2 linked regions of the Callithrix jacchus genome follow. Each later gene encodes a partner of the first gene's protein in a complex. Links are inferred from orthologs where the notes say so. Each region holds a gene or a part of one and is shown in the gene's direction. Other genes may lie near its edges. The genes, in order: EIF3D and EIF3F.

The links.
Region 2: EIF3D (region 1) and EIF3F share a complex: the UniProt entries of both Homo sapiens proteins name them as parts of the eukaryotic translation initiation factor 3 (eIF-3) complex. The link is inferred for Callithrix jacchus from reciprocal best matches to the Homo sapiens genes EIF3D and EIF3F.

What each region holds. Positions count from the first base shown.
Region 1 is NC_133502.1:207,467,981-207,471,128, reverse strand, and holds part of EIF3D (eukaryotic translation initiation factor 3 subunit D), read left to right. Parts: intron 1-105; coding exon 106-191; intron 192-286; coding exon 287-416; intron 417-3,148. UniProt on the Homo sapiens protein: mRNA cap-binding component of the eukaryotic translation initiation factor 3 (eIF-3) complex, a complex required for several steps in the initiation of protein synthesis of a specialized repertoire of mRNAs.
Region 2 is NC_133511.1:73,844,765-73,849,313, forward strand, and holds the start of EIF3F (eukaryotic translation initiation factor 3 subunit F), read left to right. Parts: upstream 1-1,721; 5' UTR 1,722-1,737; coding exon 1,738-2,119; intron 2,120-4,549. UniProt on the Homo sapiens protein: Component of the eukaryotic translation initiation factor 3 (eIF-3) complex, which is required for several steps in the initiation of protein synthesis.

The sequences.
Region 1 (3,148 bases):
CCAGGAACCTGGCCAGGGCTGCAACCAAGCAGACGTGCTGGGTCTGATGATTGGCCTTGCCAACAGAGTTAGCTCTGTCTTGTGACACCTTTGTTGTTTTTGCAGGGGAAGGAAAGATACAACTTCCCCAACCCAAACCCATTTGTGGAGGACGACATGGACAAGAATGAAATCGCCTCTGTTGCATACCGGTAGGTGACCTCTCTGGTGGGTATTGTGACCAGATTGGAGCACGGGCCCTACTGTATAGGATCCCCAGTGACCACATGAGTCTCCTTCGCTGCAGTTACCGCAGGTGGAAGCTTGGAGACGATATTGACCTCATTGTCCGTTGCGAGCATGATGGCGTCATGACTGGAGCCAACGGGGAAGTGTCCTTCATCAACATCAAGACGCTCAATGAGTGGGATTCCAGGGTGAGCTGCCCTGGTTCCAGGGTGACCTCCGTCACCCTCCTGGTGACACCACGTCTCTATTCCCTGCAGTGCCTGTTAGCACAGGCTAGTTTGTGTCAACTGTTTCTTTTCCCTTTCATTACTTACAGAGCTGCCTAGATGTTTTTTGTCTTGTGAGTTTTTTCCTCTGCTTAGCTCCTTGCTGAGAAAGAGCATGACTGCGTGTGTGGAACTATGTTAGGTGTTACGAACTTTTCTGCTTATTTCTACAGAGGAACTGGTTAACTCCCTTCTTCCAGTACTTTCTTCACCTCTGTTCCATTGTGGCCTCCTGTTGGCTTCTGCTCTCTGAGCATCTGGGTTTTTTTCTCTCCCTATTATCTGGGTTGGCAGTTTTCCTGTAAGTCTGGCCGCTCTTCTTTCTGACCTCTTCATTCATTTACTGAGCCTTCAATCTTTTGATACCCTTTTTCCCAATTCCTCCACTTCTTAAACTCACAGATTCTAAGATCTGGCTCAGAATTGACTCTTCAGGGGCACCTTGAAAGAAACATGCTTCCTTCAATTTTCCTCCTCTTTCCATTCCCCCCTCCTCATGCTCTTGCTCCATGGTAGGAGGGCCGTTATCCTGTCTCAAGTCACCCAGCCTTACGTGCCACATCAGAATTGAAGTAGGTGGCAGTGCTCTTGGGTGCTCTAAAGGGCACTCTGGGAAGGGCAGCTCCAAGGCCCAGCCTGTGTTGGATAAGTCTTTCTGAGATGTAGTGCAGGGGGCCATTCCGTTCAGCCTGTCTTAGAGCCAAGGGAGTAGCATGGACTGCTGCTGAGTCTCATCCCCAGGGGTTTCTTACCCCCCATCACCTGTTGACAGAGTACACTGGAAGGTTTGTTGAGACCTGGCTCTGGGGCCTGTGGCCTTTTCTTGTACTTTTCCCGGTGAGCTCCCCACAGCATTCGGGGTCGTCGTTCCGTGTCGCTTTGCCCTCCGTGTTACTGTGCCCTCCGTGTTACTGTGCTGCTCGTGTCTCAGCCGTTTCTCTGTTCCCTTCGCGTGCTGTCTTTGCTGGCACCCCTCCTTGATCCCAGTGGAGTCAGCTGTACAGCTCCCTTTGCCATAAGTACCTCTTTGTTACACAGCTTTGTATTGATTTTCTTTTGCTCTATGACAAATTAACAGAAACTTAGTGATCTAACAGTGCCGATTTGTTAGCTCACGTTTTATAGGCTAGAATTTATAGGGCTGTGTGCTTGGTTCTTGTATTAGTCCATTCTCACACTGCTATAAAGAAATGCCTGAGAGTGGGTAATTTATAAAGAGGTTGAATTGGCTCACAGTTCTGCAGGCTGTACCGGAAGCATGGCTGTGGAGGCCTCAGGAACTTGCCATGGTGACAGAAAGCAAAGGAGAGGCAGGCACATCTACCATGGCCAGGGCAGGAGAAAGAGAGAGGCGGAAGTTGCTATACACTTTTAAACAACCAGACCTCTCGAGAACTCTACCACGAGACCAGCACCAAAGGGGGAAATCCGCCCCCGTGATCCAGTCCCCTCCTGCCATGCTTCTCCTCCAACATTGGGGATTACAGTTTGATAAGAGATTTGGGTGGGGACACAAATCCAAACAAGGCAGAAATCACAGTATCAGGAAAACTGAGTTCTCATCTAAAGGTTCTGGAAGAAAAGCCACTTCCAAGCCCATTCTCGTGCTTCAGGTCTCTGGCTTTCTCTGTGTCTGACCTTTACACCTAAATTTAAGAGACTCATACAGGCCAGGCGTGATAGCTCATGCATATAATCACAACACGTTGGGAGTCCAAGGCGGGTCAGTCACTTGAGGTCGGGTGTTCAAGACCAGCCTGACCAACATGGAGAAACCCCATCTCTACCAAAAATACAAAATTAGCCAGACTTTGGTGGCACATGCCTGTAATCTCATAGAGTTAGGTGAGGCCCAGCCAGGTAGTGTATATTAAGGTTAACTGATTTGGGGCCTTACATCTGCACAATCCCTTTTGACATAAAAGGTAGCATAATCATGAGGGTAATATTTGATCCTAGCCATAGGTTCTGCCCACAGTCAAGGGGAGGAGATTCTGTAAGGGCAAGGGTCACTGGGGGTCATTTTAGAATTCTGCCCACCACAAGCTTCAACTATAAACTCGTTGAAAATAATTTCTCAAATCTCCTCTAATTTATTAGACTTCCCATTGTTGTTCTGCTAAAACACCTTCCCCTTCCATTTGTCCTCAGTCTCATCATTGCCTCTGGGTCCGCTGTCCATCAACGTTGTCTTTCTCCTACCTAAGCTCTGAGCCTCCAACATCTCCAGCTCCTTTTTTACATTCTTCTGTTTCGGTGTTAGCAAAGTAGAATGCTTTGCTGTCTTCTGACTCAGTCCTGGATTTCACTGACCATCACCCTAGTTCAGGGCCCCATTCATCATGCCTGTTTGGCATTTGTCTCCTAACTGACCTCTCTACCGCCACCCAACTTCTATATTTGATTTATCTCTGCCAATCATTTGTCCAGTACACAGCTTCATCAGCAGTGCAGATTGGTAGAAGGACTCTCTAAAGTGCTTCAGCAAGCTGCATGCAGTGGTATGCACTTACAGTCCCAGCTACTCGGGAGGCTGAGGTGGGAGGATAGCGCTGAGGTGACATCGTGAAACCCCATCTCAAAAAACTGCCACAGCAAACTCACAGGGGTGCTGCAGGATATTTTAAATTTTTTAGGGAAACATAGAGACGTCT
Region 2 (4,549 bases), on another chromosome or scaffold:
GACCATCTAGGCTTCTCATGTGGCTCCACATTTTACCCTGTATCATTCGATATTTTCTCACACTCACATTTGTATATTTAATATTTCTCTCTCTTCTATATCCTAGTCCTCAGTATAAAATATACTTGAAACATTTCCATTCTAAATTGTCTGCCTCTCAACCCTGCTCTTTCCCTATTTCCTTAAATGTCTCCTTTCTTTCTCAGACACCTTCCTGAAAGAAAGGCTGGCACTTGCTGCTTTCAGTTCAGACTGGCCATTCTCTCACACCAGATTCCTAGTTTCTGTGCCCACCCTACCCTCAGTCCCCCACTGGCGTTGCTCTACTAGGATTGCTACAGACTCCAGGTCATCAAATCCAAGAGTTACTTTTCAATCTCCTTCTGATTGGCTGTTCACCTGTGTTTTGGGGAACTAAAAGAAAGAATGCATGTCTATGTAGAGCATTTTCAGGGGAGCAGGATCATGTGAATTCTAATAATGGAAGATTTCTCCAAGGAGAAATCAACTCTTGGGCATAGAATCACGGCTAAGAAGTTCAACTTCACCTATCTACTTGCTAGCTGGATGCTAGGACTTGACCCAATTAAGGGAGTTGATGGGTTTTTGTTTTGTTTTTACAGGCAGATGTTATCAGCCCCATTATACCAAGAAGGAAATTGAGGCTAGGAAAAAAACTTGTAGATTGTCGCTAGTTACACAGTGGGTTAGGGTCAGAGCTCCCTCCTTCACATAGTGATGATAATCGCTATGACCTAATAACTACTGTACATCAGGTATGTGCTAAAAGCTTGACAAGGCAGTACCTCATATAATCTCCCAAAGTACAAACTAGTGTATACAGCTTACAACTCTACTTGAATGTCTAATGGATATCTCAAAGGTGACATATCCAGAAATGAAATCAGGATCTTTTCCCCAAAACCTGTTCCACCTACAGCTTTTGCTCTCAATTGATGGTGACGTCATCCTACTAATCGCTCAGTACAAAAAAAAATTGCAGTCCTCCTTGACTCCTCTCTTTGACACCTCACATACAATTTTTCAGGAAACCCTATTGTCATTACCTTCAAAACAGATCCATAATCTTCCTGCTTCTCAGAACTTCTATTGCTACCAGCCTGGTCCCAGCCATCATCATCTCTCACTTGGATTACCTAGTGGCCTCCCAGCCGGTCTCCCTGCTTTTCCCTTTCTCACCTTCCTCTTCCTAACTCCCCCCACTCCCCAGACTATTCTCAAAGCAGCCGGAGAAATACAGCTAAGTTCTCCTTCTTGCTCATTGCAGCCTCAAGCTCCTGGGCTCAAACAATCGTTCTGCCTCGGTCTCCCAAAGTGCTGGGATTACAGGGGTGAGCCACCGCGCCCGGCCTTAAAATGCTTTTTTTTAAGGCACTTTGATTTCCATGATCTAAGTCTAAAACACGAATTTCCACCACCGCGCTGCTGTCTGGTTCCACCTGGCGGCGGCTGCACAAAGTGTTTCTCTTTGAACGCCGTGCCAAGTTTACCCGGAACTACTTAGCCCAGCTCTCCCTGAGTGCTCCTCGGGCCAAAAGCAAACAGCACAAATTCCGGAAGAAATTACCAACAGCGGGACCATTTAGCGCTCCGGCTGTAACACCAGTAACCAATAAACAAAAAGCTCTAGTTCACGTGGTGTATAGTCAGCCTATCAAGCTCCTGATATTCCTGAATGCCCTCGTTTCCGCTCCTGTCGCATTCTTTCTCGACAAGATGGCCACGCCGGCGGTATCACCAAGTGCTCCTCCTGCCACGCCAGCTCCGGCCCCGGTGGCGGCCCCAGTCTCGGCCCCAACCTCAGTTCCAGCCCCAGCGCCAACGCCAGCACAAGCTGCGGCTCCGCCTTCCGCTGGGACTCCAGCCTCATCCTCAGACTCTGCGGCAGCAGCGGCTACGACTGCGGCTCCTGGCCAGACTTCGGCCTCAGCGCAAGCTCCGGCGCAGACCCCAGCGCCCGCTCTGCCCGGTCCGGCTCTCCCAGGGCCCTTCCCCGGCGGCCGCGTGGTCAGGCTGCACCCAGTCATTTTGGCCTCCATTGTGGACAGCTACGAGCGACGCAACGAGGGTGCTGCCCGAGTTATCGGGACCCTGCTGGGTGAGTGGTCATAGAAAGTTAACATTCTTTACTTTCTCCCACTTCTCATTTATCTCACTTCCCTATCTCATTAATTCTTTCATTCTTGGCGTTCTTTCCTCCCATCCCCAGTGACCTCTTAATCTATTTTTCTGTTTTGTCTTCTGCTGTGACTTCTCAAGTGATTTGCTCCTCTCCTCTCTCTTCTCTCTTCTCTCTCCTGCCGGATTGCTGTCACTTTGAGTGACGTAAAATAACAAAGAGTAATTGTGTCATTTGCTGAATATTTTATGCCAGTGGTTTACATTTTTGAATGTTCCCCACAGCAGGTTATGGCAAGTATGATGAGCCCCATCTGCCAAAAATGAGTGCACATGCTGAGTGGGAAGTCAGGAACCCTTGACTCCCTAAATCCAGTGACCACGTATTTCTGCTTTATCCACCGACTAAATGTCATTGTTTTCCAAGTATTGACAGAGTTTTCTAACCAATTGGCAAAGGAGTGGGGACATTTGCAAAAAGGCATTCCTCCCAGCAAGTAAACCGGTTTGGCTGGAACCCATTTGGGATTTTATAGTATTCTGCTGTCCTAAACTTTTGAGCCTGATTCTCTGATTCTCAGCATACCTTAATATTAGTACCTAATGTGAGAAACCCTGTTCTCCCATTTTCCATTTGGACACAAACTATTGTATTATCTGTTTATATCTCTGCCCTTAATTTTCAGGTCAAAGAATAACCCATTCTCTGCTTGTGTTCCAAATTTGGGGAATAGATACTCTGTATTAAAGTAGTTTGTAAAATGAAAAAGCACGAAAGAGGGATTGTTGATAATTCCTCTCTGGAGACTATACTGATCCCATGAAATCCATCTCCATTCCATGTTAGTTCCAGATTTTTTATTTATTTTTTAGTAGAGACAGGGTTTCTGCGTGTTGGTCAGGCTAGTCTCAAACTCCCAACCTCAGGTGATCTGCCTGCCTCGGCTTCCCAGGGTGCTGGGATTACAGGTGTGAGCCACTGCACCTGGCCAGTTCCAGATTTTAAATAGCTTTGTGAATCCACTTTACTTACAAGCATCCTTTCTCTTTCATACTCTTGAACATGTACTGGTTCTTACACCATAAAAGACAATTGATATATTGCAAAGCAGACAAGATGTGTAAGCAGACTCCACACAATTTTAGCCATGTGACTTGACGCAAATTACCTAAAATCTGTTCTGTCAGGATCTACTTTAGACTTAGTCTTCGTGAGAACTAAATTAAAAACTTCTGACTATGCTGGTACACATTAGGTACAGCTATTAGTTGCCATTCACCACATCAGGCCTGGACCGACCCAATACATGCCAAAACACATTTTCTCTCCTTTATCTATTTTTGACAGTATAGCATTTTACAGAAACTTAAATTCATATCTTCTGAACGTTGCCTGTCTTTTCTCAAACCAAGCCTTTGTGTTCTCTTTGCCACAGGTGCCTTCCTTGCTGTCCCTCATTTATTTAACTTCTGCCTATCTCCCAGGTTCCCAGGAACAGCATTAAGTGCCAGTCCTCCATCCCATACCTGGACCCTCACTCCATTCTTAACCTTCCACAGCATGATGGTGTTCTGTAACTGCGCCCTGCTTTGAGCTTCTGTAATAAATTGTTTTTCCTCACTGACCTGGCACTCAGCAAATACTTACTCTTTTGGTTACACTGTCTCATTTTCCAAGCTCACTAGAGCTATTTAAAGAGACAGTTCGCTACCCACAGTTTATACTTTAGCACCCCAAATGTTCCAGTGATCCAATCAGACCAGCTGTAATCTAATCTAGAGCTTCAGATCTTCTTTCAGACTGGAATCATGGTACAGTGCTATAGGTGTTATAGGGGCAGTGCTTCCAGAAGAATAAAGAATAGATTCTGCTTGCTATAAACTAAGAGTTTCCTTAGATATTAATTCACAAAACATTTTATTTGTCTAAATGAAGTCATTGGTGCTTTTTTTGTACCATAAAACTGTTAGGTATTTAGAATTCAAAGTGTAGTAAGGTAAGCTCTCCTGTAACCTTAAACTCAAGATAGAAATATACTCTTAAATGCAAATAACTAGAATGTAATATAATAAATGTTCTAATAGAAGGGTGTCATGGTGGCATGGAACTACGGAAGACTTAACTATTTCAGAAGGTTAGGGAAAAGTTCACAAAAAAGATGGTGTTTGAGCTGGGCATTAAAGCAACTACAGGAAGTTAAAAAGGCCTGATAAGCCCACTATCTGAAACATTCAGTATTACAGGAATGTAGGTGACAGGAGGTAGAGCAGGAAATGAAGCTAGCAGAGGGCAGAGCCCTAAGAAGTATTGAATAATTACAAGTGTAAAGTGCTGTGAAGGAGAATTACCTGGGTCTCTGAGAAGACAAAATGGAAGTGTAACCTCATTTGATGCTCTTTGGGGAGGATC